4 linked regions of the Oreochromis niloticus genome follow. The protein of the gene in region 4 purifies or fractionates together with the protein of the main gene of each other region. This does not show direct contact. Links are inferred from orthologs where the notes say so. Each region holds a gene or a part of one and is shown on either strand. Other genes may lie near its edges. The genes, in order: gsk3ba, clns1a, pnn and epb41l3b.

Region 1 (7,435 bases), on a different chromosome or scaffold from region 4:
ACACCTCTAGAGGAGGTTTAGCTTCTCCCTGCTTCTACACAGGCTCTGAGGTTCCTGGCTGTGCAAGAGCAAGAGACACATGTGCGCTCCAAAGTCCAGAAGATATTACTGTGGATGATAACTGTATCCCACATCACAACAGTGACCTTGAAGAGGGAAAGGAGGAGGAGGACGGAAAAGTGCATGAAGTAATGAGAACATGTCAGAGGTGTGTTTCAAGGCTCCCGAGATGTTCGGTCTTGCATTGTGAAGAACAAAACCGTAAAGCTCCAGAGGATGTGGGAGCAGGCGGTGATAACGAGCAGCACCGTAGACACATTCGAGACTCCTGTGGGTATTCGGACTCAGACTCCAGCAGCTCAACAGATTACTGCTACTACCACCGTCCTTACTGTGACTCCTGCCTGCAGCGAGGCTCCCTCCTGTACTCAGACAGCTCCTCAGACTCCTCTGACAGCGAGTATGATGACTACTTGAGCCTCTACCGCTCCCCACGCCCTGTGGTATTCAAAGAAGACCTCAAACCCACCTTCGTATGAACACGTTTACTGCACTTTACACATTTATCCAGTTCCACAACTTGAATGAATATCCTCAGAAAGGTTGCTAAAACTGATGTATTTCTGTGATGGAGGGACATTTGACAGTAGCTTACAGTATAGGAACTTTACATTCCAGAGATTGGTGTTTTTCTGTGTTGCACCATGGGTCACAGTGACTGATTTATAAGACTAAAACTTTTGTAGCTTAAAAACACATGATGCTGTTTACTTTTATAGTTCCTTGTGGCATTATTTGTATTATTTGGATTACTATTTCTACTGTCTGATGAAAACCTTTGACACTTACAGTACTGTGCAAAAGCCTTGAGTTACTCATTTATTTATATTTAGTTTCTTTTAATTCTTTAAGTGGTTCTGAAGGACATTCGCTTTTGGACATTGGCTGCTTTTTCATTCATTTTTACACGAGTCCTTGGGCCTCACCATTTCCAGAGGAATGTTCTTTTTCTGTGTTTGTTTTTTGTTAATCTTTTTAACACTTACCTTTGAATAATTCAAACATAAAAAGTGTTTGATGACAATGATAACAGACAACTTATCAAAAAAAATATTTTAAATTGTATGTTTAGGCACTTTGTTACTAGCAGCCGTTCCAAAATGCACAATTTGTTTCCACTTCTTTAATCCATAAAAAAAATGCCAAAGATAACACATTTTGACAGATATAAAACAGTTTTTGCACCAACAAATTGATTCTCAAAGTGCTATCAGCCCAAGATATTTCTTATGAATCATAGTTTAAGTTTTCCTCAACATATATGTGGGAGATCAGGAGAGAGGTGCAACAGTGAGTGCCTACAGAATGATAAATGCAGAAAAGTACCATCAGCCTTTGATCCACTATATAATACCACCTGGAAGCTTTTGATTGGCAATGACTTCATTTTTCGATGATCCCGAACATACTGCCAAAGCAGTACAAACATAGCTGGATAGAAATGCACACAATGCAACACTATCGGTCAAGGATTGGTCTCCCCAGAGCCCAGACATCAACATTACTGAAGCAATGAGAGATCATCTAAACAGAGAATGAACAAGAAAACTCCAAAGAAGAGTTACTTTTGTCCTTCAAGAAGCCTGGAGAACTATTACTGAAGACTACTTAAAGAAATTACAAGAAAGCTTGCCTAAGAGAGTCCAGCATGTGTTAAAGAATAAAGGCCGTCGTACTTGTACAAACTATGTTTCTTTCCTTATATACTGTATTTCTATTTATGTTTGCACCTATTTCATTTTTTCCCAGCAAAATATTATGAACTGAAAAAATCAGGACTTTTGCACAGAACTGTAGACAGGTGCTTTATTAGTCAACTCATATAAGTTCTCAAAATATACTGACAGAAGAGACACAATAGTGAAAAATGACATAAACAGATGCAACATAAAAGGTTTTCACAGAACAAATGTGCGCTCTATTATCAATTGTGCAATTCTGTATTTATTTCTGTATTTATTTGTTGATGTTTTGGTGCCCAAAATTACTTTATGTTTCTTTTATTATAAACATTCCTTAAAATGTTGTTATGCTCCTTTGCTGAATCTGAGTTTGAATTTACAATGTGCATTCTGTGAATGTGAGTGCTGACGTGATGTTAAATACTAAACCTCACCTTTATATGATTTCCATGTTAAATGCAACATTTTCCCTGAGTTAAAACATTTGCCAGGCTCTACATCACTTTAATCTCCACCATGATTTCATGATTTCACCACATTTTCATGGATTTTCCCGAAACACAGACAAAAGCCTTTTCTCCCTTTTATCTTTCATGTCTCTTTTATGACTTGCCCTTCACTTCCACTCCCTTCTGCTATCTACTCTCTGTCTTTCTCGTATTTTATCCCTCCACTAATGGGGAAATGTGTGTTTGCCGGGGGAGGTGTTGCTATGAAGGCAAAACAGTGTCTTGTGTTACTTCTGCTCAGCTGCCTGCTTTTAAGATGCTGCCGCTCTCTGTTCTGCATATGAACCATTGAAGGCCAGCCTGGGAGAAACTCCCTTTGATACGGAGAATAAAACACACACAGACACACATACACATACACACACCCCTGCATAAAAGATACACTAGCAACTGTATCACTGTGAACAGGGAAAGACTTTCCTGCCCTTTCTGCATTCTGCATATAATATATTTTATTGCCATTTCAGGAAATGCAGCACACATATAATTAGAGTTCAGTACAGTTAGTGACACTCACATGCATTTGCAGAAAAGAACAAGATACACCTTCAGCGATTTTACATCACCAGACAAACATAAACTGCACCATTTCCAACCTTTTTGGTAGTTTGTTAACAATAACTGCTTTATAGATCAGTAATAAATTACAGTTCTAGATTATTTTAAATCTTTTTGACTCAGTGATACAACATTCATTTATTAACACCTCATTCTTCTTCTTTGATCCTTTAGGGGTCGCCACGGTGGATCATCTGCCTCATTCTCACGCTATCCCTATATCCTCCTCCTCACACCAGCCCTCTGCATGTCCTCTGTCACCACAGCCATGAACCTTCTCTGTGATCTTCCTCTTTTTCCTCCAGCCTCGCAGCTCCATCTTTAAAATATATCTATTATCCCTCCTCTGCAAGTGCTCTCATCCTTGTCTCTCTAACTTTGTCTCCAAACCTACCATCAGCTATCATCTTGTAAACCTTCCCTTTCACTCATGCTGCTTTTGTCACAAATCACCCCTGACACTCGTCTCCACCCAGTCCACCCTGCCTGCACTCTCTTCTTCACCTCTCTTGTGCACTGTCCGTTGCTTTGGATTTTTGACCCAGTGTAGTTAAACTAATCCACCTTCACTATCTCTGCTCCTTGCAGCTTCACTATTATTAATGAAAATCGTTCATACATTATGTCAGTTGACAATACAGCCCTCTCAAGGGTAAGAGGAAAGAGAACAGAGAAAGAAGATCATGGAGAGACAAGGACAAAACACAATGGCAGAGAGAAGAAAAAAGTTAATGCCATGCTGTAGTGGTATGTAAATGCAGCTGTAGCATAAAGCGATAAGAGGAGAAGAAATGCTCATTGCATCTTAGCAAGTCCCCCAGCAATATTGCATCATAATCAAGACATGGTTCGGGGTCACCTGATCTAGCCCTACCTATAAGCTTAATAGAAAAAGGGAGAGTTTTAAGCCTAATCTTAAGAGTAAAGAAGGTATCTGCCTCCTCAAACTGGGAGCTGATTCCACAGAGGAGATTGCAAGCTGAAGGTTTTACCTGTTATTCTCCTTTTAGAAACTATATACATCAAAATATCACCAAAAATTAAGTGAAAAAAAACATCAGTCAAAGGAATCTTCAGAGCCAACTGATCCATTAGGTACGACGCCATATTTATTAAATAAATAATAGCAAAAGCTTTGTTTGTCTGGCATCTTACAAACACACAAAAGAGACAGCAGTTTAAATGTGAAATCAGGAGGTACGATGCCAAACATGCAAGATAAGGTTACAATAGAAGGGTGAGACGCGTGCACGCGCACATTATTACATTACTAAGCAGGATGACACTAATTAAAAGGATGTGCCCGAGGGCCGCGTGAGGTAAAAAGTGTTGGGGAGCGATAAAGAAGAGGCTTTTGTATCTAACATAGCAACAGTGCTGCATGACCACCGGTGCTCCGTGTCCGTGACAGCTGGGTCCATTTGAACTGACAGCCCGGCTTCGGCTCTCCATTGGTGGAAGAAGTCATCCATCCCGGGAGCGGGCCCGCCCCTTGTCCCCGACGCGGCACAGGAAAAAAGCCTTTGAAGTCGCGAGGGCGGTGCCGAGCAAATTATGCCATGTGGTGCTCGAGAGCGGCGTTTTTATTGGACGGCGGGAAAATGGTCACCGCCCGTTTTTGAAGGATTCCCTCTCTGATTGGCTCAATCGGCCACCCCAGATTCGCCGTGCGCGCGTTCACAGTTTTCCTATTCTCCCTCGCGAGTTACGTCAGCAGCGTGAACGTCTTTCCGTGACGCCGGAGCGATCCCTCGAACAATTTGCGGAAACGGCGTACCTACCATGCGCAGCGACAAAGACTGCGAGCCTGAAACCTATGGGGAAGGAATAAAAAAAGAAATTCCGTATCGTTGGACTCTGTGCTGAAAGACCAGTATTTTCTGAGGAGCTCACCGGCCTGGGGTCTCGGCAAAGACACCGAAATTTAACCGAGGCAAGGCTGGATTTAGAGTCGGCGTACGGCTAGTGAATTTGCTGAAGAAGACTGTAGCAGCTGGCAGATTTTCCGTTGGACCGTCTGTAGGCTAGGGTATAGCGAGGGAGCCGCCATGGCAGTCGGATCATTGAGCCTCCACATCGGGATATGAAGTGGAACTGCATGTGTTCCGAATCGTTAAGAAAACGCCGCATTTGTCACCGATCCGCACCGGATCAGCATCTGAACTAACCCTTCTTCATCTCCGTGAAAACGATTCCGCACCCCGAAAGAAATTACCGCTGGTTTTTAACCGTGGGGCCACAGGGAGAGGCCAGATTCATGACTATTTTAGTCGGATACGTGTCTTCAAAGGCCCGCTGAAAGAAAACCTGGAGCATAAGGAGGAAACGATGCTCTGATCGACCGTCGGTGGAAAAGAAAAGGGTCATTTAGTGGCGATACAAAGTAGTGTGAAGGATCCTGGGATAAGGGGATCTCTTTCTAGCTGACCTCCCTGAGAATTACAGTGATATTAATTTACTGTCACCCCCCCAACCCCCCTTTTTTGGATTTTTTTTTATTATTATTTTTTATTTTTGATGAGAAGGTTCGGCGAATCGATCAGCTCCGCCGTTTAAGCAAGTCACAGTCGAGAGAATCAAAGGGATCGTCGGATCATGTCGGGTCGGCCCAGGACCACATCCTTCGCAGAGAGCTGCAAGCCAGTGCCGCAGCCTTCAGCTTTCGGCAGCATGAAAGTCAGCAGTAAGTACTCCCGTGTAATTCTAGAGTGGCAGACTTTTCCTGCACGCACCAGGCCCACTGTGGGCTGCATATGCTCGCTTAAGTGTCCTCTCACTAACTAGGCTGGAAATGTGTCAAGTTAGCATACGGTTAGCTCCGGGAAGCTTATCTCTGTCATATATGTGTGTCACAGAGCGAGACTGGAGGCTGCTGAGCGGCACACACTGCTGCTCGCCCCGGTGTGGGCACACAGCGTTACGCGCTCTGTCGCGCCGCCCCGGGCCGGTCAGCCGGAGCAGGGTTAGCAGGCCGCGCCGGGAAGGGCCGGGCCGGGCCATAGGAAGGTAGTGTTGGCACAGGCCCAGGTCAAAACCAAGCCTCCTTCTTCCACCGCAGATCCGGCCTGATTATTGTCCATTTGAATGTAGACTAGATCGCGTAGAGATATTGCCACACAGCACCAATCACATGCGTAATGGAGTTAAAGCGATAGGTCCGGTCTATTACGCAACCGTCAGAGCGGAAGGTGCGCCCGTAGTTGAGTCGGGCGAAACTGACGCGATCCTAAGGGGGGTGGTTTATTAGCCCTGTTTCCACTACTTCCACGGGCCGTGTCGCGACGACCGGAGGGAGTGTGACATCGAGTATCCTGTTCATGAAGCCACGGTGGCACGGTGCCGGAGACCGCTTATAGACTGGCTGCAGAGAGGAAGCCATGCGACTGACTAGGCCTGTCAGCTGAGCAAGTGGCGGGGTGGGGGGCTGGCAATGTTGGTGCTAGACGCCTCTCTTTCGTCTAGTCTATCCATCACCACAACGATCTCAAGGCAAGGCGCACTCGCTCCCATTCGCTCTGTCTATATGCTGAAGATACTACTGCTGTACTGGTTATATTTAATGGCCCAGTTAGAGCTCACTCAGATGAAATAACATCAAATTAACACTAAAAGTCGTTTCATTGAAATTAATTTAGAAGTATGGCATCCTTACTATTAATGAGTATCGACTGTCGTAGATGGACACGTGCACATTTCCTAGTTACACCCCTGTCTTATCTGACACACAGATGGGTGTGGGTGGGGTGGAGTGGGGTTTGGGGGCACGTACCTGTTAAGGAATGCTGACGGAGCCTTAAGGGCTGTGATGTGAGCATGATGTATGTCAGTCGGGTGAGGCCTGAGGCTCAGGCTCATGTCTGGGCCTTGGTGTTGGAAACCGATTAGTGCACTGTGACACACACACTCCAAACCCAAGTCTAATTCTTGTCTTGCCCCAGATGCATGTATAGGTCAGGTCTGCTAAATGTGAGAATTAATTTTTTCAGACAAAAGTTTTGGATCCTCAACTTGATTTCTTTTTCTCTCATAGAGACTCATCTGGTGACTCAGTACGTTATTATCAACTAAAATAATAAGCTGAACCTCTAGTTGCTCAATTAAATAGGTGTTTGATAATCTGATGTCTAACAGCAGGTGGTGTTCATCTCCATGGAGGAAAGTAGAGTGGCTGATTGCTCAGATGTCCCCTATTGTAAAATTTCAGTCTGTGAAGCATTTCATGGAACCAACCCTTCCCAAAGTAATTTCCACCAAAGTAAGCAGCTCTGGCAGCTTCAGGGCCTTCTGTACATCGCAGATTCTGGGCGTGGACATTAGTAAAACATTGGTGAAAATGGTGGGTTATATTCATTTAGACTTTTATAAACGGGAAGGAAACCAGCAATTGTAAAGGTCAGTGGATATATATGCAGAGGGCCTCTTAGCAACACATTGTTGGTAGCAGCATCCAAGCACCCAAACAGAACATTATTAAGTTCCCAATCTTTAACGATCAAGGATGATAGCAAATCTTCATTGTCGATTGTGCTTAATCACTGAGTTTTATTTTTTCTTGTAACAAGCAGCTACATATAATTTACATTTCTTTTTAGTTATTGTTTTAATCTAAGGTAGGATCTGCCACAC
Region 2 (7,978 bases), on a different chromosome or scaffold from region 4:
TCCATCTAAAGATGATGCACCATGTTCTGAGGGATTTCTGAAAAACTCTGCTGTCACTTCACACATAGACGAACACAGAGAACTAAACAGCTGTGTACCCATTCAAATCAATGTTAGTCTCAGAGTGACTCTTTTCTGACAACATCAAATATCTGGTGTCTGGCAAACCTGAGCCGCTGGGCTGTAGTTACACCACATGGTTTTAAAAACTGAGCTTTAAAATGTGCTGCAGATGAATAGTGGTAATAAAAACCCAGAGAGACAGGCAGTGATCACTGACTAATTTTAAGGACTTGTTCAGATTAAATGACACCTTAAAAAGACAACAGCAGTTTGGACCTGGATGCAGGGTTCACGCATCATCACTTAACAACAGGATAGCACAATCCCCTCACTCTTATTTTGAAAGTTCAGCTGCTGATAACCATCTATTCTCAGTCCTGCTGCTTCTTCAGTGACATATTTACAAAGAGTAGTGTTTAATTCCACCTGTCCAAACTGCACTGCCATAAACATCAGTTACTCTGCTCAGCAAGGTGTTTCATCTCATTTAAACTTACCAGCCTCTGCAAGCAAACAGTCCGAGTCATCAGTCCGTGAAGGGGAAAGAGAAAAGACAGAAGGAGAAAAATGAAAAGACTTTTACATTCAGACAAAAGAAGTATTTTATCAAATGTTCTTTACAGTAAACTATTTAAACTGGAACTATTTGGTAATCCTTATTTTCTGTCATATATGCAGCTACAATGGTGCGTGCTCAGAGTAAAACAGCCACCATAACAAATCACGAGGTCACCATACTAACAAGTAATCATTATGAGCTTTTAAGCGCTTATTAATGAGGATTGGTTTATAACCTGGATCTGTCTAATCTCAAACATGGGGACATCCATAATGTGGCTAGCCAGACCGTCTCTTTGCAAGACAAAGCTAATCAACAACAATTTCCCTTGTGGGATTAATAAAGTATCCATCCATCCATCCATCAGAAGGAAGCTAAAGGAGTGGAGCTCCTCTGGAGGGTGGAGCTAAAGGAGATAAACGGGAGGAGTTTGTGTCAGACAAAGGAGGATCGAGGATGAACTGGTGCTGTCGGAAGGAGGAATACAGTAAATATGAAATGTGTTTAAAGATAATTCAGTGTCCAAGAATAAAAATTTAGGTTGGAAATGAGCAGAACAGATCAACTTTACAAGAACAGCCATTGGTGATGTAAGAAAATCACTTCAATAGAAATACAATTAGACACAAAGCCAATTCTATTCTGTATTCACAAATACAATAAAATGCTTAAAAAGAAAACTCAGTTTTTTTCTGGAAAGATTTTCTGTTTCTGTTTTGTGTTTCTGAATTAATTTGAGGATTTAGATCACTGTTTGTTGGAATGTGGGGAGCTGTTGTCTTCTTTGTGTCTGCTAAAGACAAATCTGCATCTATGCATTTGAGTTTTGCCTCACCGGCTTCCTCCACGTCGTACTCCTCTCCTTCAAAGTCGTTGTCCGAGTCGTCATCCTCGGGATCGGGGTGAAGCGCCTGGCACTCGCACATGGCTGAGAACATGGACTCCACTGCAAGTAAAGCACACAAAGGTATAAGTGTGATGCTGCGCCATCTCCAACTGTTGTTTATACAGGATGTGCAGCCATGTTGAAATGTCTGCTGCTCATCCCCAGCGAGGTCACTCACATGCCGCTTTGTCGCTGGGAACAAATCGAATCTCTGTGATCGTCCCTTCGTCTTCATCATCGTCACCACCATCACTGCTGCCGTCATGATCATCATCATCATCATCAGCTGCTTTCTCTGCCATTTCTGCCTCGTTCTCTTCTGTAAGGAGAAGTCAGCAGTGACCCAAAAACTCCTTCAGAAACTGTAAAGAAACTATTTGTACAGAACAGGTCAAACACGCTTTAACAACCCCGAAGACTGGACTCCCCCTGCCTAAACAAGTAAAAAGAGATATGAAGTTCAGATGTAAACTTCGCCTCACTGTTGAGTTTGCCGTTGACCATGACGTAGAGGTGTTCCTGTGGGTAAGCGCTGACGTCTCTGGAGATGGCGTGCAGTCCGATGGAGGGATACTCCAGAGAGAAACCCAGGCCTGAGCTGTCAAACCACGACAGGCGCCTGATAAAAGGAAAACAAACTGCTTTAAACAACAGCACTAAACAACTTTTAGATGCTTTTAAATGTCTGTCAGGCTTATTATCTGACTTTTCTGGCAACGACTAATTACGGTCTCAACTGACTATTAATTTATCAAATGATATTTTCAAAAATGTTAAAAAATTCCAACTAAATTACTTTAACGTTGTTTGCTTCTACTTCCTGAAAGTAAAAAAATATGTAATGAGACAGTATGTAATTGTAATGCAACAGCGTGGGTCTGTGAGAAATATAACACAGCTGTAAAATCTGAATTTACGCACACAATGTTTCCTTCCCAGTTTATTGCTGTTTTGCGCTTATCCAAAAATTTTTACTAGCTTAAGAAAAATAAATAAGAAATTAAATTAAGAATTGAATAACTGAAATAATATAACAACACGAAGAAGAAAAAGAACGCAAAGACAATGTAAAAAGGAAAGAAATACAATGATAGCACAGAAACAAATTCCAAAAAAATACAAATAAAAAATACATTTATTTAAAAATAAACATGAAAGAAAGGAAAAAAGAAACCCGCCTTTTAACATTACCGAGAGTCTAAGGTATACAAAAACAGACACAAAATATATCATGTTTACGGAGAGGTACAAGAAAAAAATGTAATATAAATAATAAGTAAACATATTTCTAATACTGGATTCAAAAGAAGACATCCACATTTTGTTCTGCAACGTATTATTTTGAAAGACTGTGCTCCGGAAGTGATTTCAGCGCACGGAGCAGACGTTTATTTTTGTGTCTATAATGTAAACTGGTGTAATTTCCAATAAAGGGCGCGTGAAAGCCCGATAAGAACCTCAATAAACACGAGCCTGAACCCCAGACCCACGAGCCAAAGAGCAAAGCATGCGCCACGTGCACCACTTACGTTTCTGCGACGTAGAGGGTGCCGCAGCCGAGCCGCTGGCCGTCCATCACCGCCGTGGTCTCGGCTTGTTCGTGTCTCACTCCCTCGGTGGGAGGTTGGAGGTTTTTCAGTAACACCATAGTCCTCGGTCCGCTGGGACGGGAAAGAACAGAAACCGGTGAAAACGCGCTGCTGCGTGATAAATTTTGTACTGGCTAAAGATGGCTAATTTCACCCGGGGTAACTTCTCAGTGCTAAATCAGTGTCGGACAGCTGGAGGCGAGAAAACGGCAGCCGTGCTATAACGCTTCGTCCCTTGGATTAGCAGATCCGGGACGGAAATCTTTGAGTGCGAGAACAGGCGTGACAAAAACTGAAAACACTGGAGTTACAAAGTGCTGGTTCAGGGTGACGTCACGCTGAAGTATCGCGACAACACAAAACTCCCAACGAGAATTCACACACTCCAGATTGGCAGTTTGAAAAGCTGCCGCGAGATGGAGCTGCTCCCTAATCTTTTATTCCTAAAGATGTGGAAACATAAATTCTTACATTATTTACAAAAAAAAGAGTAAAAAATAAACATTCTAACAAAGACTGAGCATATAGACAGTACAAACACGATTTTTTAAATAAACAAGCACAAATCAACAAAGTAAAAATAAATGATTATCTGTATAAAAAAAGAAAGGACATATTGAGTAAACACCACTGACTTTATAAGATTTTTTTTCTTTCCTTTTTTCACTTGTTGGTAAAGACATTAACTTAAGGGTTTCCTCACTGGTTACAAATTTGAGTGACTAACTGAGGAGGTTCAGTAACTGATTTAAACACTGCCTTAATAAAAAAAGAATCATTAATATTCAAAATAGTAACTCATTACGTTTGGATTACACTCCAATTACACTGGTCCACATAAGAAGCTGCTTAGCAAATATAATGTGCATTTTACAGCTGATTAGTCATTTGACATCAAAGCTTCAGAGCTCTGAAAGATCTCATTTTCACCAAGATTTGAATCCCAGGATCATCTTCAACCTGAGAGTCAAAACTATTTTATAATATACTGAAATTTTTCATGATTCATTTGTGTGTTCACATTTAACGTTTTTGTTCTGTTGGTATTTTTGTCAATTGAGAGAGTGGAGAACAAAAATATTACAAATAAGTTTGATCCTCATTATATCGGTTTCTTGAAAAATTGTTTGGAAACAGAATAAAGACAGAGTTTGTAAGGACTATAAGGTTTACAAGCACTGAGGCAGTTATGCAATTTTCTAATCTTGCCTCAGAACACACACACACACTGATTACTCATTTGACATCGAAGTTTGGGAGCTCTGATCCGGTTAATTAAATCCTGCAGTGAAATATGGGGATTGTGTGTTTATTAAAATTAAAAATCATCATGGAATCATTGATAGAAGAGCATCAACATTCAGCCTGTTAAATTAGATTTTGATATTTTTATTAATGGCCATAATTGGCCATTTTTGGCTACTTTTGATTTTACTTTTGTATTTCATCACCTTTAAATTGTTTTTACATTTTTTATTCTTGCCTTGCCTTGTTTGGTATCAACCTTTTCAGCACAATCTCACATGTCTGAATTTATTGGCATACTGTATTAACACAACTGATCTGAAATCACACAAAAACATAAAAAATGAGTAGAAAAAGGCTGTCATTGTTTTTGGTTTTGTAATGTAAAAACCACAAACATATCTACAGAATTATTTTCACAGCTTGAAATGCAAAAATGAATTGTAAATTTAAAAAAAAACAAAAAAAAACCTAGGCACAAATGTTATAAACAATAAAGTTCATACAACTATTTACCTAAAAATGTTGTCAATGCCTCAGGTGTTTTTTGAACAACCACTTGAAAAACTACTAAAATTAAAATGAGAGAACAAAGGAGCTGTAATCTGATGGAAAAATATAAATTATATTTAGAGATGAAACAGAAGTCTGAACAAGTAACACTGAAGCAAACAGTAAATGAAACATGAAAGTTGTACAAATATCAGATTTTACCTTCACATCTGCTTTTGAGCTTAGAGTATGAGGACGTTTTTATCAATGGTTGCCTTTTTCCATTTATTTATTTAATTAATAATTTACTTTAATTAATAATTGGTTTAAATTAAAATGAAAGAATGTTTTCCAGGAATACTTTTAGTGCAGTGAAAAATGTCTGAAAAGTCAAGCTGACTGTAAAGTTTGGTCTATTTGACATTTTCAGTTTTTGTGAAGAAAGCGCCACCTCTTGGTGCCACTCTGTAACTGAATGAAAGGGGAGTGTAGAAAGCCCAAACACCCCAGGAGGAGGAACGGCCAACAGGTGGAAACTGGCTGGCAGTTCGCTGGTAGCTATCTGGGGGTGGTCATTCTATGTGGGCGTACCTGTACACTGAGATGCACAGACGACTGGGGTAGTGTACAGGAACATCTGTGTCACATGTCGATTACAAGTCCTCAACTCCAGCTGTGCTTCACTGTTGGAGGTGGTAGAGAACAACTGGACTTAGATCCTGTGGGACACACATCAGCCTCCCAGGGGTGTGAGGGGAAGATAAATGTGATATCCAGTTTGTTGTTTCTCATCTCTCTCCTCAAACCAGGAGAGAACTAATCAGATTAACAATCGCTTTAGAGTAACAACTTCTTTAAGGTCCTGAACCCAGATCGGTGACATCATGGAGCCATGATCCTTGGTGTTCTTGCTCTGGCGAGGATAAGAAAGGACAAAAGTGATGTTAAATCCATTGGCACAAGCCACACGTTAGTCTTATTTCGGTATCAGTGAACCTCTGAATGTTTTGCTGTTTGCCACTGTGTCAAAAACACCTTAGCAGTGTATATAAATGCACGTGGCTGTTATGATGTTATTGCTGGTGTGTGAAGCGACCAGTGCAGTGGGTGTAATGGTTCTCTTAGCCTGAACTGTTTTTGGTGACTGTAGAAATTGGAGCTCCTTAAGAAAACATCCAAACCCCTCACAGAGTTCTGACCAGGTTTGATCCCAGGATCCTCTTACTGTGAGACCACAGAGCTACCCACTAAGGACAATAACACCTAGACCCTAATGATTTACATAGCACTTACGAATTGGAGAAAATGTTTAAATTATGAAAAAAATTAGATTTCTTGAGTTTTTCTGAGTTTGAGAGAGTACAAAGATTAGTGTGACAGTTTCAATGAGACTATCTGGAACAAGTTAAAAACATTTCCTTCTAAATTCTCAGTATTCACTTATCAGCATTCAGTGTGTCAGATGTAATCTTTTACTGTTCATGTGACTTTCTGAGAATGTATGAAAAGTGATTGGCTCTCCCGCAATGTTCTTGTTTTGAACACCCACAGCAGGACTGAGGCCACGATTACAGTTCCACCTCAACTTTTATCCTAAAATCAGTCAGGCTCGTGCTTCACTGTAAATGTTTTTCACTGATTGATGTTGGTGATATTATGTGATCGACAGTGCATTTTATTTTCATGTCCTTCATCCTTCTTTTATCTGCATGATTTACACTAACTTATCAGTGCACATTAAAGAAAAGCAGGACGACATTCCTTAAAACCTTTCGTTTGATCATTTCTCAAAAATAAGATGAAATGAACAAAGTCAGACTGACATTTCCCTCTGAAACAATCACCATATTAATAAATGATATAACAGCTCTGTAACATGTTTCACTCTACATCAGAGACATGTTAAAGCGTGTTGGCTGCATATTAACTCAAAATCCTGATTATTTGCTTGAAAATAAAGTTTGGGAGCTCTGATCCAGTTTATTAAATCCTGCACTGAAATATGAGGATTGTGTGTTTATTAAAATTAAAAATCATCATGGAGTCATTGACAGAAGAGCATCAACATTCAGCCTGTTAAATTAGATTTTGATATTTTTATTTCAGAAATGATTCCTAACAAAAATGGAGAATATAAAAACACAGTGAAAGCAGTAAAGTCCATATTATGAAGTGTTTGCTGTATCAGACAATCATGTTTCCAGTCTGCTGCATCACAACAATTTGAAATGCAAATATAAATGATTCACAACAATGAAAACAATATAGTGCAGATAAACATGGTGCTGTAATGAATCTGCTCTTAAACACAATAACAAAATACATTTTCCAAGAGAGATGATAATGATTCACATCAGAGTGAAGAACGAATACATTTACAACTGGTTTCTAACATTTATTATAGATCGAACTGATCACTGATAGAAACAGAAGAATATTCACAATGATACTCTGAGAGATACATGAATGACATATGGATAAAAAACAAATCACATGAAACAAAAAAGCACATAATCATTCTAGGTGAAATAAAAATGAGTACAAAAAAATAAGAATTAAGTCGAAAAATTAAAAAGGCAAAATGTTTAAAATATATAATCAGATAAGAGAGCGAGCTGTCCAGTCAGGTCACAGATTCATATCTACAATAATACTTTTGTTTGTTTTTGTTTTTGTTTTTGTTTCATCAATCCTAGGTCCCTGTATTAATATTAACACTATTATGATTACTTATAATAATAATGTTGTTATCATTATTACCATTATAAATGCTGATAAGCATATTAAGTGTGTGTCTGAGCTGAAAGCCGCTCTCCTCTCCTGGTTTTCTGTATCACACAGACCACAACAACACAAAGCATCACCTGCAGACCGCTGAGCAGTATCCACCTGACTCTGTAGAAGGTCGAGTAAACCCCAAAGGGCTCTCTGTGGATCAGAACTGTTTTTTCTGCTGACACACACTCAATCTCTGACTCTAAAACTGTACACCAATACTCTCCTGCATCTTCCAGTGAGACATTAGACATTATCAGGCTGTCGTTGGAAAGAAGGATTCTGATTTGATTTTCAATAATCTCAGTAAATTCAATGATTTTACCTTCTCTTTTTATCGATTTCATAAACCACCAGGGCTTCATACCC
Region 3 (7,441 bases), on a different chromosome or scaffold from region 4:
GTTGCGGAGCACATTTTTCCAGGCAGGTAGAAGATATGAGGCTTGGTCTTTGTGCGAATGTATTTCACCAGGCGATTATTGTGGCTGGTCCACTCCTCTTGCTTTGGATGGAGGAAAAAAAAAAAAAAAAAAAAATCAATTTCACCTTTTTCTCAAATTGATTTTACATTTCCCATCATTCTAGCTACAAAAATAGGCTTTAAAAGACTAAGTATTAAATTAGATGTTTATCAAGTTACAATTTGGTGTGAAAATTAAACAGTGATAAATGAAATAGACATTTTAGTTTGGCCGAATCAGTAAGTCCAGTTTCATTAAAAATAAACAAAACTCAGCCACTTTCATGCTAGTCCCACTTTCAAACAAATACACTGTCTTACCAATTGAGCCAATTCCACTTTCTGCTCCAGAAGTCTCAGCTCTGTCTGCTTGGCTCTCCTCTCTTCAAACAGCTCCCTCTTTTCATTCTCCACCTTCTTTCTCTCAGCCTCAGCCTGAACCTCGAGCTTCTGCTCAATCTCAGAACGTCGCTTTTGCTGCAGGATGACAAACAGAAATATGAAGCAGAACAAGAAAAAAATCATGGAATTTATGACCTCATCAACACAGAAACCTATATTTTCAAAAATACTGCTCTCATAACCAAGCAAAAGATGAATCTATTCCTCACCTTTTCTGAAGAGACATTTGACTCCTGCTTGAATTTCTGTAGGGTCCCCATGAGCAGGCCGAACATGCGCCGATTCCTGACCAAGACAATACAAACACCACCATCACACACTTAATTCTCAGCTGTAGACACGTTTTGCCATTTGCCAGATGAAATTAAACTGATCATGGCTCAGACTATTTAGTAATCAAATCTGAATGTAAATCTAGAGTTTAAGAGCTACCTCTGTTTGCCCCTCTCATCCATGGTTTGGTCCTGAATGAGATCTCGGCGCGTTCTCTCTTTGGAGGTAGCTACTACAGACGACTGCAACGCCGGCTGAAGGAAGGACAAGAAGCAAATTGTTAGGATTTTTATCACTTCAAAGCAGAAAAAAAAAAAAAAACCCACTGTGAGGCAGCAAATACTGATCAAGTATTTTTGACAAAATTACCTTTTTGACATCATCGTCATCCTCAGCGTCGCTGTCGTGACGCATGTCCCTCCTGGCCCTCTGGTCCCCTGCCAGCCTGCAGCCACACAAAGATCAAATACTCATAAGAGATGGTACTTTGAAATCAAGACAAGGAGGGAAAAAAAAAAAAAAAAAAAAAAAAAAAGTACAGAAAGCTGAGAATTCATTCAATTAATGCCTTACATGTGCAGAAATGCTGTTGTACTTTCAGTCTGATACAATTTACTCTAGAAAACTTGTTTTAGTCTACATAACACCCCCCCCCAACAAGAAACATATTTTCTTATACTTGTTAAATAATCTTAATATTAATGAAGGGTTTCAGGTAAAATGTGTTACACAAGCTCCAAAACTAGAAACTACCCAATCACTATATTATATTTCAAGTCGAGATCTCACCTTAGCAGGGCTCCTTCGATGTCCCTTTGCTTGGCAGGAGGGCCGCCGCTTCCCATGTCTGAGAGACTGCGTCTGAGAAAGGACAAAGAGGAAAACTTTAGAGATGCACAGACTGAATTTTTTGCGGTTTAAATAATTTATTCTACCTTTTTTTGGAGAGACGCAAAGAAACTCCAAGAAAGCTGATTCCGTTCATCTGGACGTGTTGTTTTCAGTCAGAAATGCTTCACTCATCCAAGTGACTGAGCTCAGACTGAGCTGACCCTAGGTTTCCCCAACCTTTTAAACAGTTTATTTGCATAATGACCGAAACTACCGTTAAGGACCAACAATGGGTCGTGAGGTCAGTTTCATTGTCCTTAAGTGGTCATAGCACTTTGCATATTAAGTCACTTGAATGAGCAGCCAAAAGTTTTGCCCACTAAAAACAACGCCCTGATGAACAATCAACTTCCTGGGATTTAATTACTTGGATGATTGAGCATGCATCAAGACAAAAAACAACCATTTTCAAACCCTCTTTGAACATTTAACTGAAACAGAAAATGTGTTTCAACAGTGCTTCCTTTACAGACTGAATCATAAAAACATCAGACAAATGTGATTAACATTTATCCTCAACTCCATGTTTTTGTTCTTGGCTATAGTAGATGTGGATGGTTCACAAAAAAAACCAAACAAACCCCAAAGCAAATTATAACACAAAATGGGGCAGCTTCTCAGTCCATTACACTTTGTAAACCAAGCTACTTACTTAGTGAAAGTTACATAGTTTCTGCTTCTGATAATTAACTTCCCCGTGGCTATTAATATGAAAAAAAGCACAACAATTCCCCCTTTTAACGTCTAACTGATGAAATCAATATGATTATAAGTGCGCTATTGTGCAAATGGTCATAAACTACGCCTTGCATTCTGTAACCAGCAACAACCCAGTTCAAACCTTCACAACAAGGCTTATTTAAGAAGTGACGTGACGCCAAGTCTCACATTGAATAGATTGTGGAAGATGTGTGATTGGGGAAGGGGGGGGGGGGGGGGGGGGGGGGTACTGTTGTATATACTTTTCAGATCACCCACTAAAGTTGAAAATCTAAAGCTCTTTTTTTCCGAGATGGGGAGCGCAAAGATTTACCTGAGCAGGTTTATTCCTCTGCCTCTACCTCCTCCTCCAGGGCCTGCCATGGGGCCGCCAAGCCGACGGATCTGACCCGGCCTGCAAGCACAGGGGACACCGAGGTTAACACAAAAGAAAGAATACAGTCTGACAAATAAGACTCACTTTAACATTATGCGTTTGTGTTGCTGCAGAACCGTTTTATTATTAAGCAAGACAAAGTGATGTGCCGCCCGGACGACGCCTCCTGCAGGGCCTCGACTCTGTTCATCTACCAGATTTAATGTTCCAATTCAATATTTTAAGAAGTTACCAATTTGGTTAATTTTTATTCGTTTGATGCGAATAAATTAAGATGGTAAAAACATTATATGTGCGACACAAAACAAGGAGGCGGTGCTGTTTGCAGGTTAGCCGACCCACGCTAACTTAGCACACGTCGACTGAGTACAGCTCTTCAGCTTCACTCCAGGAACTCGCTAAAAAACTAAATAACCAGTTAAGCTTTTTACCTTGATTCATTAGGATCACGTCCGGTCAGTTTACGAATATTATCGTCCACATGCTTCAAACTTTCCTTGGCTTTTTCTAGCTGGTCTTGCAAACTCCGCACTGCCACCGCCATCTTGCTTCCAGTTAGCGCGAATCACGTGTTCGTCCTCTTCTTCTACTTCTAGACTCTTCTTCCTTTGCATCCTGTCTCTTTATCAACGCATCACCGCCACCCTCTGGTCAGGGATGGATAATGCTTACTAACGTGTATGTATTGGTTCTAAAATCGGGGGTGAAAGGTGTGTTTGCGTGTATCTGAAATAAAATTAATTTTCCCAGCCTTAGAAGGGTCTTTAAAGTTGATCAAACTAAATTCAAAGTAAAAATGTTGACAGAACAGTACAACACACACACTAAAGTACAAGGAAGCAACTGAAGGCAAGAAGCAGCGGATTATTCACCACTGCAGGACTGATCACATATCACAGTGTGTGCTATTTCAGCCAACAGTGCACCTATATCTTCTCTGAGAGTCAACTAAATGAAAAGCGTATTATCTAATTTCATAAGAAGACACATGGTTCAGTGTTATAGCCTCTTACTTCTGTAGAAGACAATAAATTAAGACCCTTTCCAGGTGGTGAAAAGTGCTATATGTGAAATGTTGTAAGAAGGCACAAAATATCTGTGAATCCTCAGAAGTCACAAAGGAATTAAACCAGAAGAAATGTATCACAATTTGCATAGAGCAAGAGGATTTACTTCTCAAGTTAGCATCAGCAGAATAAATTTAGACTTAAAACATCTGATTTGTATCTGTTTTTACTAAAGCTTCATGAGAGGTTTAAAAGATACAGACGATACTCTCGAGACTGGATTAAGGACAGGAATGAAGAAAGTGTTCTTTTATTTCACTCCTCCTGAGTACAGACACTCTTTCTTCTCCTGACAGCCAGATTCAGGGTGCCTGCCTGCCTCTTTTGATCTCTATCAGTAACTGAGGAAGCCGGCTCCGAGCTGCGAGCCCCGGATTGAAAATAAAACCCTTCTGAGTCCCGCTGTTGCAGCTCTTGCATATCAAAGTGGAAACCAAGCATCAAACCACAGCTGATTTCCTGGCTTTTAACAGTGTGCGCTACAATTCTGCTGATGATTCTTTCATATCATTCTACTACCAGTCCAATAACACTGATGTCATCATGCATTTAATTACACAACAGAGAACCCAGCCTTCTAAAACCCACTCCTCTGACTGTTGGTTGGGAAAAAAATGTGTTGTTGTTTCAGCTTAATTGTGAAATGCCACAATGATAATCTCCTTGTCTCATTATCCAGATGAGAACGAGCTCTTTGTCTGAGACCTGCAGCATTAGTGCAAAACAGTTATTCCTGTCCATTAATTAAAAAGCTTTTTAATTAACTTTACTGTTAGCAGACTGCTTTTTAGCAATTTGTGATGCATAATAGTACATTACAGTTGGGAAAGGCAACCCATAAAACATTTATTCCAACATATTACTAAAACTGAATTATGGCTCCACTTTCTTAGCTTACAGTAGGGCCGCTTGATGTGGTCTTCTCCTGCTGTAGTTCATATGCTTCAAGGTTTAATGTGCTGTGCCTTCAGAGAGGCTCTTGTGCATGCGTGGGTTGTAAAACCACGTATATCACCTTTCTTCTACATTCTGAATCTCGGTTTGAAGTTCAGCACGTTGTTTTGACCATGTCTACGTATCCAAATGGGTTGAATTACGTTCAGGTAAGATAGTTGTGTTTAAAGAGGTGTACCTAATGAAGTGGTAGGTGAGTGTATACTGACATGAGGGGCATTTTCTTGCCCGTTTCATTTCTGACATTGGCGTCTTCAAACTATGATTAAAATTATTGTTGGAAGACATTTTTGAGCAGATAAAAAGCAAGTCTGTGGTGACAGGCTGGTGTGAAATCAGTAATGTGGAAGCAGGAGAGCAGGAGCAGAAGGATATTGAAATCATCACAGGGGAATATTTTAACCTGTGAAATATTTTTTGGAGCAGGATTTTGCAGAAGAGCTAAAAAGGAGAGACACGTTTTTCTTGTCTTATGTTTTACATCTCTGGGCTTCCATAGATCCATTTGCAAGTGCTTTATGCTGTTTACTCAAAGGAAGTCCCCGTGGTGCGCTGCAGGGACTTCCTCTGAGTAAACAAAGAAATGGCAAAATAACATTGTGTAATATCGTTGTTCGGTGGGGAGGGACTTAACAAGTAAAGATGAGGAATTTTCTGGTGGGGGTGGGTGGGGCAGTTTAACATTTTCTTTACATTTGATTATTTCATCAAATTCTTCAGTGGCACTTTCTCACTTACCCACTCGACTGAGCCACATCAGATAGATAACAAAACCATTGAGGTGGGTTAACAGCTTTGATTATTGCATTAAATGGGTGACCTTAAAAGAAAAGGCAAGACCAAGTCGTCTTTTTCATCATCTCAGGAATCTTTTCTAATGCTTATGTCCATTGTAGGCGTGGAAATGGTTAATAACTGAGAAATGTCATTTAAAATTTGGTGAGTTGAACCCATTCAAAAAAAACAAACAACAACAACAACAAAAAAAAAAAAACAACCCAAAGGTCATGAGGAGCAGTTATTGTTTTTTTGCACTAACGGGTGTGGAGGTGTGAAAAAGACACAATAGGCTACTTAAAGACACACGGGAAACCAGTGGGTCATGTAATGTCCCTGCAGACTAATTGTGACCGAGTTAGTTTTGGGTCTACTTGACATTCATGCACAATAATGGTCTGGTTTGGTTTGATGATTGGAGATTGCAGAACGACAGACGACTTCTTTCCAATGCCAGTTTTTAAATGGATTTAAGGAAAAAAAAAAAAAGAAAAAAAAAAAAAAAAAAGACAAACGAAGCAAGTGACATTTTATTGTTTTTATTCACTGACTAAAAGAAGAGAAGCATTCATTCCACAATAATTCAAATCAACATTCGTCAGGTTGACCCCTCAAGTGTATGCCATCTGTCAGGTCAGAGGTTTTACATGGAGGTTTATAACATGTCCTCCCTTTTCTTCACCACAGAGCCATGGATCAACACTGTTCAATGATAAAATCTGTCCTCTTACTTCCAGAGGACTCTTTCCCTGCAGACTAATCCAAAAAACAGCTGGGATGAGTTCAAATATCACTTTTATGTGCCTTTTCTTATAGACATTGAGGGTAAAACTCGGTTTTGCTTGGTCTTAAAAATCCACAAGCCATTCTTTTAATCACACCTTGGTCTGTTTGACATAGCTCAGGTGAGTTACAGCACTGACTCGCTTTTAAAGCTCTGTGCAGAACAGATTTGGAAGTTTTTGTTTCTGAAATATGCTCTGTGGTACCTGAAGTCTGTCCAGCTGTGTTCTGGGTTCAGTCTGGTTCCCTGCTTACAGAAAGGAGGTAATAACCTGGTGCTATGTGCTCACGTTAACCGACACAGTCGCACAGGAACGTTACGCTCAGAATATTCAACATTAACGATGGTAAAACCATTTCTGCAAAAAACACACAACAACAGAGCTTCTGATTTACAAAGTCTGCGTGACTTCAGAGTATACTTCATGTTCATAAATTGAACCCGGACATGTGTTGCATAAGAGTATACCACGGTAATGCAGTGTTGATACCTATACAAATATGCACTGTGTGAGTTTAGATATCTATATAGTTTATATTTCTTCCTCTATGGTTTTTCTAAAGATGCAGCCGGGCGCCGTCAGCACTGCTTGTGCCCCCTTTGTGGCCACTAGTAAGACTGCTGTTATTGCAAACTGTCCTGATTTTAAACAAATGCACAACATTCGTACCACGATAAAACTGGGGCCATCTAGCCAGTCTCACAGAGACCAAGAGTGAGCCCGCCGTCACCGCTGCTGTCGCTGGGCTGGCTGACCAGAATCAAAAAGATCTTAAAACTAAACGATAAGATTTCAGAAATCATCATAAGGCCAAGTATTGTCATTGCAAGTTCTTATTAGTTTACATCTTCGCTTCTATTGTATGACAGTGAGAAAAACCAAATATAAAAATAGGAGGAAAAGAAAAAAGAAAAAGAGGGTGAGTGTGGATTATATGCATTCCTCTTGCATAGTTGTATTGCTGGACTGGGCAGCAGGCCTGCCTGCCTGGCTAATTAGGAGGTTTGGCTCTCCAGACTTGACAAGAACGACTTTGTTTACCAGCCAGAAACATCACAGCCACAGTAGCTGAGATCTAAATGGAGATAGTTGGCCGACACTGAGCATGAATATCTATCAGGTCCATGATACAGTCAG
Region 4 (8,547 bases):
TTTGTTGCCCTTTGGACCAGAGCTTATACGATCAGTCAGCAGTGGCTGGTCTGCATTGCGTAATCGTAAAAACCCCAAACAAATTTAAACATCCTACATGGCTGTGTTGCTGTGTAAACACATGGCTAATAGCTCATATTTGCCTTTGTGATGTGGCGTGCGTGTGTGGATGCAGTCCTGTTGAAGCACAGCTGCACTGGTTGATGACGAAATGGATTTGGGTGGAAAGCAGGAAGGGAGAGTGTTTTATGGGAGAGATTGGTGGAAGAAATGAGAGGCAGAGGAAGAGAATGAGAGCAAGAAAAACAGAGTGAGGTGGAGAGAACATGCCTGCTGGCCTCCTGTCTGGACACATTACATTTTCATAGGCTGATATCGCACCGGCACAGCTGAATATAGATAACAAGCACTTCTTGTTCTACGCTGTCAACTTGGGTTTTTGTCTGTCTTTTGCTTACGTCTTCAGGTTTGTAGATCCAGCAGCAGCAGATGTATACTATCTTTTATTTAGACTCCTTCTGATGACTAATATTTGCCTCTGCCTTTAGTCGGATTAGTGCAAAGAAGCAGGCTAAATAAACCTGTTGCGTAATCTGAGATTCAGGGCTGGATTAAATCACTGGTAGACCACGAAAATTAGCCATGGGCTTCCTTTAGGTCCTCCTTGGACAGATTTTGTTGCTAATATCTTACTAGTATTCCTCCTCTGATATCTTTTTACGCCTTAAAGAAATTCTTGACCAGAATTTGATGAAAAAAAAAAATCATGTCTGTACAGCAGATACACAGCTTGAGCAAAAGATCTGAAACAGGCAACTTATTGTATCCAGTAGTAATGAAATCCCTCTGCCAGGTTTTCTAAAGCTCACCAAAGAATGAACTTCTCACCATGCTTTACACCTTTCTTCTAAACTAACCTTCACATGTTAGCATTTACATTTTTTTTTAAAAGTGAAACTAGATAAATGCTAAGACTCTTATCATTTGAATTTACTGGGATCTGACTTGTGTATTGCAGTATGCAGTAAACATGCTCTCTCCTCAGGCTTATCTTCTCTCTCTTTTGTTTTGTGTTCTCACAGACTGAGTGACAAGCCTGTGGTCTAGTCGCCACCATGATAGCCACGGGTGGCCTGCTGCGCATGAACAGGCGCCAGGATTCGCTCCGATCCAAAAACCGAGCAGAGAACAAACGGAAGCGGAAATCCAAGAAAAAGAAGAAGAACGATGTGGTGGTGGTGAAGGGGAAACTCAATCTCTGCTCCCCGGCTGGTTTGGTGGCCGCTGTTGGAATTATAGTTCTTATGGTTGGGATTTCCATGGCTGTACTGGGCTACTGGCCCAGCCAGAACCAGCAGGAATACCAGGAGCGCCGCAGAACCGGGGGATTCCACACCAGCAGGATGAGCTATTCCAAAAGTCCTCAGATTTCCTCCAACCTGACCCGTGGTGAGCCTTCCTCTGGCCAATCAAATCTGTTCAACCAGAGTCATTCTAACACCAGTGTTTCTAGCCCGTCCCGTCACTGTGGCTTTTTCTGTGACTTCCTGGATAATTATTTGTATTCAGACAACCTGAAAGTCTTCGGACCACTTGTGATGGGAATTGGTATCTTTCTCTTCATTTGTGCTAACGCCGTCCTCCATGAAAACCGCGACAAGAAAACTAAAATCATAAACCTGAGGGATATCTACTCCACAGTGATAGATCTGCACAGTATACGATCAAAGGAGTACTCACCTCTGAACGGCATGGTGAATTACACCCAGTCAAAGAGTGCAGAAGGGCCATCGGGTTCATTTCCAACAAGTGGGATGCTTACTCGCAGTTCCTGGCCCTCCACTGGAATCACTTTCAAAGGTGAGGTAGATGGCGAGGAGGTATTCAGACGCTCCTCATTGGTCAGTAGGCCTCGTAGCTTGTCCAAAGATGTGCAGACCTTCACAGAGACTGTCTACAGCATCTATAAAGACTACAGCAATAGCAGTGAGCAGGCACCTCAGCCCCGACAGTGGGAAACCACTTCCATCGTCACCTCTTCTGTGAACGCTTTTACCCTGCCAGTAATCAAACTGAACAACTGTGAGGTGGGGGAGAAAGCAGAGGCAGAGGGATGCTCAAAGGAGGAGGTTGTTATAGAAGCTGCTGCTGAAAACATAAGTGAGGAGGGACAAGCCAGCAGCAGCAGCAGCCAGAGAGATGTGATGTACGGTAAGCAGAAGGAGGCTTCGATCATGGACTCTCCTCCTCCTCACCGGAGCCACGAGGACACCGACACAGGTATCCAACAGGGGGTGCCGCAGTCTCAGCCTCAACCGCAGAGGCCTCAGCTGTTTCCACCGTCTCCTGTTGCCAGGGCGATGGGGTCACGGCTGTCGCTCAACTCTCTCACGGATCAGCCCAGGCCAGCACGCCGCTGCAGCCTGTCTGTGTCTGGATGTCGTCAAGGTGACAGAGCCAGGCGGTTCAGCTACCCCCGTCTGGAGCACTCCAACAGCAAGGGCTACATAAAACTGAATGACCTGGGGGGCGAATCCTTTGAAGCCCCCGACGCAGACACTTCTTTGGTGGCCCCTAAACAGGAAGTAGCAATGGATGCAGCAGCAGCGGAGGAAGAAGCTCAGGGACAGGACAATTTGGCGACACCGAGCACCTCTGGAGAATCCTAGGCCTCTTAAAACTCTTTGATGTCTTGTTATTTGCTTCGCACCCTCTTACGTGATTGCTAATGGGTGAAGCTGGCCATTAGAGAGGAAAGGAAACACGGAGAGTAAGCAACTAAGGACTATTGAAACATAGCCATGAATACTCAAGAGCAAGACTCTTTATAAATACACCAGACCAACAGTTCAAAATTCAGATGTAATTTTTCTATTTTTTCAATGTAGCAAGAGCAATACTAAAGACTTGTAAGGAGATTTAGAAATGGTTTGTAAAAAAAAAAAAAAAAAAGAAATTTGATCAGATGAGGTTTTTTTTTCTTTTGTATAAGAGTAAGGCAAACATTGTAGCTTGTAGAATTGCCAAAACTTTCACTCTGAACTACTGTCCAACATGTCGTACTGTAGCATTAACATATGCCACAGATATTTAAATAGTCTAGATTTGCTTCTCTGCATTGTTATGTGAATACCACGTGAATAGGTGAACTGAACTGAATCTCAGGTAGATGTCTGGCTTAGGATCGGGACCTTGAGGACAAGGTCTTCCCTATGTGCACACACTTGTTTATATGAAGCATTCATGGTTTAATAAATTTGACTGTAACACCTCCATTGGGTCTAATAGATGTCTTTGTGTGATATTAGATTAAATGCCACGAATGCAAAATGGCTTGTTTGCTCCAAATAGTTTCACTTGCATTAAGAAAAATTAAAAGGATTAAAAAACTGGAAGTCGGACTATGATTGATTGTGTGGCAAACGTGGAGACTGTATGGATTTTTTTCCCCTGGACTTTAGCCGTACTTCTCATTACTGGGAAACACTGCAGTGGTATTGATGTTTTATTATCTCTGCCAGCTGAACCGAGACCAGTGACCTATAAGTGACCTTTACAACAGTCTTCTTAATAATTGTCTTCACTATTACAAAGGGAAGTTAACAGCTGAGTGAGTATCTGCTCAAATGGGCGACAAATTAAACGGGGGAAAATAAACTGGGCGTTTATTGATAATAGTGAAGACTGTCATAACTGTCAGTCCCCAATAACTCACCTGGTTGAGCAGGTGACCCGGAGGTCAAAGGCTGCTGCATAGGGGCCTGAGCACAAGTCTAGATCAGATAGTTTCCTGTGTGTCATTTCCGCACGACCTCTCCTACTGTATTGTCAAATAAGGTCTCAAAATGCTAAAAAAAAATCTCTTAAAAAATCATGTTCAACTGAGATCTGGCAGATAGATGCTAATCATTCAACAATCCCTTGTATGCAGGCAAGTGCATTTATTACTGTTTCTCCATTTACTCAAACAGATTTTTCCATAAAGGTACAACTTGTATGATTAGCACAAAAAAACCCAAACAAGTAGTATTCAGTTATCCTAAGTGCATCAATACTCCTGTTTTGTGGCAATTTATACATAGAGTTTATCATATGTCTACATGACTTCATCATAATATGCTACTGTACTATTGTACTTTTTAACCTCACTGCAGTTATAGTTACACCTTTAAGCTGTGCACATAAAATACAATAGTCTTACTCTATAGCCAGCCTTATATTTTTTAATATAATTACTTATGTGAGATAAATGCATGCCTTGTACTGCTGTAAATGCATATTGCACCACTGCCACCTCACTGTATATACAGTGCTGCACAAAATTATTGAGCCAGGCCCTTTTCTTTACATTTTGCTTCTAAAATACTTTCTTGTATTTTTTAAGAGATCTTGAGCAACAGTTCTCCAGGCTTTATGAAGGTCGTTCATAAAAGTGCCATCAGATTTTGAATCTACCATGCAATACCATCTGACAAGTGTCCGATTAGCAACGGCTTTGTTTTTTGTTTTTTCAGCATGATGATGATCCCAAACACACTGCCAGTGCAGTAAAAGCACGAGTGAACACTATCAGTCATGCATTGGCCTCCCCAAAGCCCGGACCTCAACATTACTGAAGCAGTGTGGGATCAAATGTCAACCAACAGTCCTTCAACAAGCCTGGAGAACAATTCCTTAAGTATACTTACAGAAACAGACAGTTCAGAGTTCAGGCTGTGTTGAAGAGTAAAGGTAGCTATAGCAAAATGTTGACTTTCAAGCTCATTTGAAGTACACAGACTCTGTTTTTGCCTTATGCACATTTCTATGTATGCTTCCATCCGTTTCAATAAATTCCTGTGACTATTCTTATTTTCTTAGTTAAATAAAAAGAAATAAGGGGTACTTCACGACTGTTTCACAGCACTCATCTTCCAAGTCCTGCATATTGTTAACAGTTCCTACAGGATCAGACAAAAAGTCCACTTTGAAGTTTGCAGACTATTCACGAGAGTAGCCAGCGGAGCTCAGCCTAACGTGGCCATCTAGTGGTCATGTGATGTTTGAAAAAACAGAAGAAGAAGAAGAAGTACAAAAATAAAAGCGACCAGCAGGTGGCACTGGGTCTATGCTGGTTGAGTCGTGGGCGTGCCCGTTTAAGAGCACTACGGGGCCGATTTCTTTTTAGAGGCAGGAGGGGGCGGGGTCAGCTCGCTCCGTCTCTGGGAAGGTTTGCCAAATTTGGCGCTCACAGGTGTGTGATCCCTTTCACCCGGACGAGACCCACGCAGGGGATTCCTGGTCTTCGTAGCGCTCCCTGACCAACAGCTGGCGTTTGGGGAGTTTGTGTCCCCTCGCTGAACACTCAGGTAAAGTGCTCGCTTGTGTTTACACTGTTGTTTAGTTTGTGTGTCGAAAAACAGGCTGTCACTATATGAGCATGAGCAAACTTAAGTCGGGGTTTTCTGTTTGTAATTAGGGCAGCTTTAGGATGTTATATGTGGTTGTTAATATTTCTAAAGGGTTATTCTCGTCGTGTGACATATCTTAGTAATGTTCTGTTTCATTTTTCATGTCTTTTTTCCGTTGCATTCACCGGGCTTTCCACCACAACGTGACCTGCTGCTTTCCCGGCGATCTGTTACATTTCAAACGGTGAGTACGAATGTTTATGGGCAACAATGTGAAACACACAAAGAGACAAGCACAGGGAATAATTTGGAGTTAGAACAGAATACATTTCAAGCGGCAGCCTCTTCACACTTTATACTGCAGAGTAAAGGGCCAAACAGACGCGATCAATACTTTACCTCGCTTTATTTTGAAAATCTAACGTGACGGAGCGTTGAGAAACTTCGTGTAACAGCTGTTTAAAAGTGAAAACAAGTCAGATCCATTTCTTCCCGATACAAATACAAAGCCCTCGATAAATCTAAGTTCTGTGTGACACTTTTGACTCAAGTCTTTTACAATCTGCTGAATGCGTCTATAATCTCCTCATCAGCATTTTTTCTCAGGCTATTTCTTAACTCGTTTCTTCTCATAACTGCTGAGGAAGCACTACTTGTTTTCTTTGACACGCACACACACACACGCACACACACACACCTGATTAAATGTTTGCTGGGCACAGACAGGCTATTCGGAAAGGGGAAGTTGTCACAGCATGTGTTTCCTCTCCTTGAAATAGAGATGTGAATGAATCAAAGAAGGAAGACGTTTCTGTTATAATAGTCTCTTTCATGTGCACTAAAATGAACATTCATCTCATGGCATTGTTAATAGGGAGGTCCATATGGCTGCAATGAATTTTTATTTGATATTTAATCTTTTCGATATGTATGTATTTTAATATGGGACAGTGCATTTTATAGTGCCATCTGACCATTTGCGCTTGAGTAATTTCACCAGTTTTATGAAGTCAAATGATGAGGTTGAATGTACAGGACTGAGGAGATAACACCGGCCAAAGTCCGTGGGACTTGTCTTGTTCATTTGCTTGTGTGTGCAGTCTTTGATGTTTCTGCGGATGATTGGTAGCATTTTGCTGAGGCTTAACATTTCTTGTACCCCATGAGCTGGCTTGGACTGACCAAAATGTTCTCACTCTCTGTCATACCAGAGGAAGTAGAGTTATGTAATTTTGTCTCTTTCACTGATGTGTTAGAGTTGTCGTTAAGGACAACTTGGACCGCAAAGAATGGTTGGGTTTTTTTTATAGTTTTGTTTTTTTAACCCTTCTAATAAAAACACATTTTAGCTGATTTTTTTTTAACCCATTAACTGATATGAATTCTTTTCTTTCATTATTATTATGATTATGATTATTATTATTGTACTTCAGTAGTATATATTTTGTTGTTTTGGTTGCTTGGGGTCAAGTTAGCATATTGTTTGTTTGTTTTTGGGTTTGTTTTTTTTTTTACTTATTAGCTAACAGTTGTTTTACATACCCAGCAGTTACAGTGGATCATTTACGCTGGTGTTACATTTTCTGTGTACACAAATATGTGAGCTTCTGAGTAACATAAAATTTGCCATCAGCCAACCAGCAAGTTTGTCGTGACTGCGTGGAGATGTTCGTTTTCTTGTTATGCATCACCAAAGAATTGGAGAGTATAAGGCCTGTTCGACTCCTTTCAGCACTGTTTTTGGTCTCTACCAACTGCTGGATGAAATGGCTGTCTTTATATCCAGCTGCAGATGGTGCCCAAGCAAAGCTACTTTAACGCTAACATTCCTTTCAGGATAAGTAAACAGTTTGCATTCTGCAAAGGCAAATAAAGCCTCAGCGAGCTTTGGGTGATAAAACTCCTTCAATCATTTGCTAAAAGCATCTCTCTCACTGCTGCATTGTTATTTCATACATTCCTATGATGATAATAATACAGCCAGTTTAAATATTCAAAGCAGGTAAAATAAGTAATATTTATGAAAAGTTTAATCCACAAAATCTCTGGTAATTTGCTTCTTCACCGGGAATTTGTAAGTTTGTGTTGACCACTACTTTGAAAAGATCACCATCTAGAAAAATCCAGACATGTCCACCTTTTGAAACAGCTGATCTTTTCTAACTTTGGCAAAAAATGTGCATAATCATGCCAAACCTAATAAAACTATTAGGAGAGGAAAGTTTTCAGGACACGTTTAAAGGATGAATTCCACTTAAGGCAAGGCATTAACTCCAAACAAGAGTTTTCCGGCATGCTCTTCCTCCAGCTCTTTCTGGAAAAGGTACACTGTAAATTGAAAATGGCAAGCTGCACTTACAGATTAGCCAGTAAAACATTGTCTTAGCTGCAGTGATTTATGTGACACAGCTGGAACATGGAAAAGGCTATTTAAATGTTTTTGGGTGTCCATGTTGCTTGTTGATTTTTTTTTCCAAGTTGGACCAGTGGAACATGGGAAGGTTGTAATTACAGGCAAGCAGCTGGGAAATTCCAAATTCTGACAAAAACTCCAACGCTGTATTTTTTTTTTTTTTCAAGCATGCATAGTTCACGAGATATTAAGTCTGAGGATAGGGGGATGTTATAATGGAGTAGTCCTTTAGAGTTCCCCATGTTGCACGTATAGCCTTTTGAGAATCAAAGGATTTTCTATAAGTTGTATTAAATTTTATTTTGTTTTTTTTACTTTGTTAGCTGCCTCTACACTATATACAGGCAAAACCAGATAAAATCTCTTCGTTGTGGCTTAAAAAGAATCATTCATGTCACACATCTAAGGCTTTAAGAGCTACACAAAGACAGATTTCCTACTGTTGTTTTGATGTAATGTTGCTGCTGATAAATCCTACCTCTGCCTATTCATCTTAGGAATTTACATCAATGCTGCTGTCAGTTTAGTACATGATCAATAGCACTAGGTTTGGACTGCAGGAGAATATATTATTTTTGCTGCTCTTTGTTGCTGTGACTCATTGTGCTGCTGTATGAAAACCTGTGGAAGGGCTAAGTGTGTGACTCAGAAGTAAGAGGTTAAAGGTTAAAAGGAACAGTCAGCAAACCCTTGTTGTTATGACGATTCATAGATAAGTAAGGCAAAGGTTGGAGTATTGTCTGT

What was found.
Region 1: the proteins of epb41l3b (region 4) and gsk3ba purify together in Homo sapiens (affinity purification with mass spectrometry; 4 studies listed by BioGRID and IntAct, with this or other methods). This does not show direct contact. The link is inferred for Oreochromis niloticus from reciprocal best matches to the Homo sapiens genes EPB41L3 and GSK3B.
Region 2: the proteins of epb41l3b (region 4) and clns1a purify together in Homo sapiens (affinity purification with mass spectrometry; 3 studies listed by BioGRID and IntAct, with this or other methods). This does not show direct contact. The link is inferred for Oreochromis niloticus from reciprocal best matches to the Homo sapiens genes EPB41L3 and CLNS1A.
Region 3: the proteins of epb41l3b (region 4) and pnn purify together in Homo sapiens (co-immunoprecipitation; 3 studies listed by BioGRID and IntAct, with this or other methods). This does not show direct contact. The link is inferred for Oreochromis niloticus from reciprocal best matches to the Homo sapiens genes EPB41L3 and PNN.

The regions. Positions count from the first base shown.
Region 1 is NC_031987.2:19,718,781-19,726,215, forward strand, and holds the start of gsk3ba (glycogen synthase kinase-3 beta), read left to right. Parts: upstream 1-4,387; 5' UTR 4,388-5,404; coding exon 5,405-5,492; intron 5,493-7,435. Other genes in the region: gpr156 (probable G-protein coupled receptor 156), read left to right, coding at 1-539. UniProt on the Homo sapiens protein: Constitutively active protein kinase that acts as a negative regulator in the hormonal control of glucose homeostasis, Wnt signaling and regulation of transcription factors and microtubules, by phosphorylating and inactivating glycogen synthase (GYS1 or GYS2), EIF2B, CTNNB1/beta-catenin, APC, AXIN1, DPYSL2/CRMP2, JUN, NFATC1/NFATC, MAPT/TAU and MACF1.
Region 2 is NC_031979.2:35,680,183-35,688,160, forward strand, and holds the start of clns1a (methylosome subunit pICln), read right to left. Parts: upstream 3,449-7,978; 5' UTR 3,157-3,448; coding exon 3,038-3,156; intron 2,128-3,037; coding exon 1,991-2,127; intron 1,828-1,990; coding exon 1,687-1,827; intron 1,569-1,686; coding exon 1,458-1,568; intron 567-1,457; coding exon 561-566; intron 1-560. UniProt on the Homo sapiens protein: Involved in both the assembly of spliceosomal snRNPs and the methylation of Sm proteins.
Region 3 is NC_031983.2:25,169,394-25,176,834, forward strand, and holds the start of pnn (pinin), read right to left. Parts: upstream 3,311-7,441; 5' UTR 3,266-3,310; coding exon 3,153-3,265; intron 2,740-3,152; coding exon 2,659-2,739; intron 1,596-2,658; coding exon 1,524-1,595; intron 1,180-1,523; coding exon 1,104-1,179; intron 989-1,103; coding exon 894-988; intron 747-893; coding exon 671-746; intron 537-670; coding exon 381-536; intron 102-380; coding exon 1-101. UniProt on the Homo sapiens protein: Transcriptional activator binding to the E-box 1 core sequence of the E-cadherin promoter gene; the core-binding sequence is 5'CAGGTG-3'. Capable of reversing CTBP1-mediated transcription repression.
Region 4 is NC_031982.2:24,529,023-24,537,569, forward strand, and holds the start of epb41l3b (band 4.1-like protein 3b), read left to right. Parts: upstream 1-5,386; 5' UTR 5,387-5,634; intron 5,635-8,547. Other genes in the region: tmem200cb (transmembrane protein 200C), read left to right, coding at 1,116-2,669. UniProt on the Homo sapiens protein: Tumor suppressor that inhibits cell proliferation and promotes apoptosis. Modulates the activity of protein arginine N-methyltransferases, including PRMT3 and PRMT5.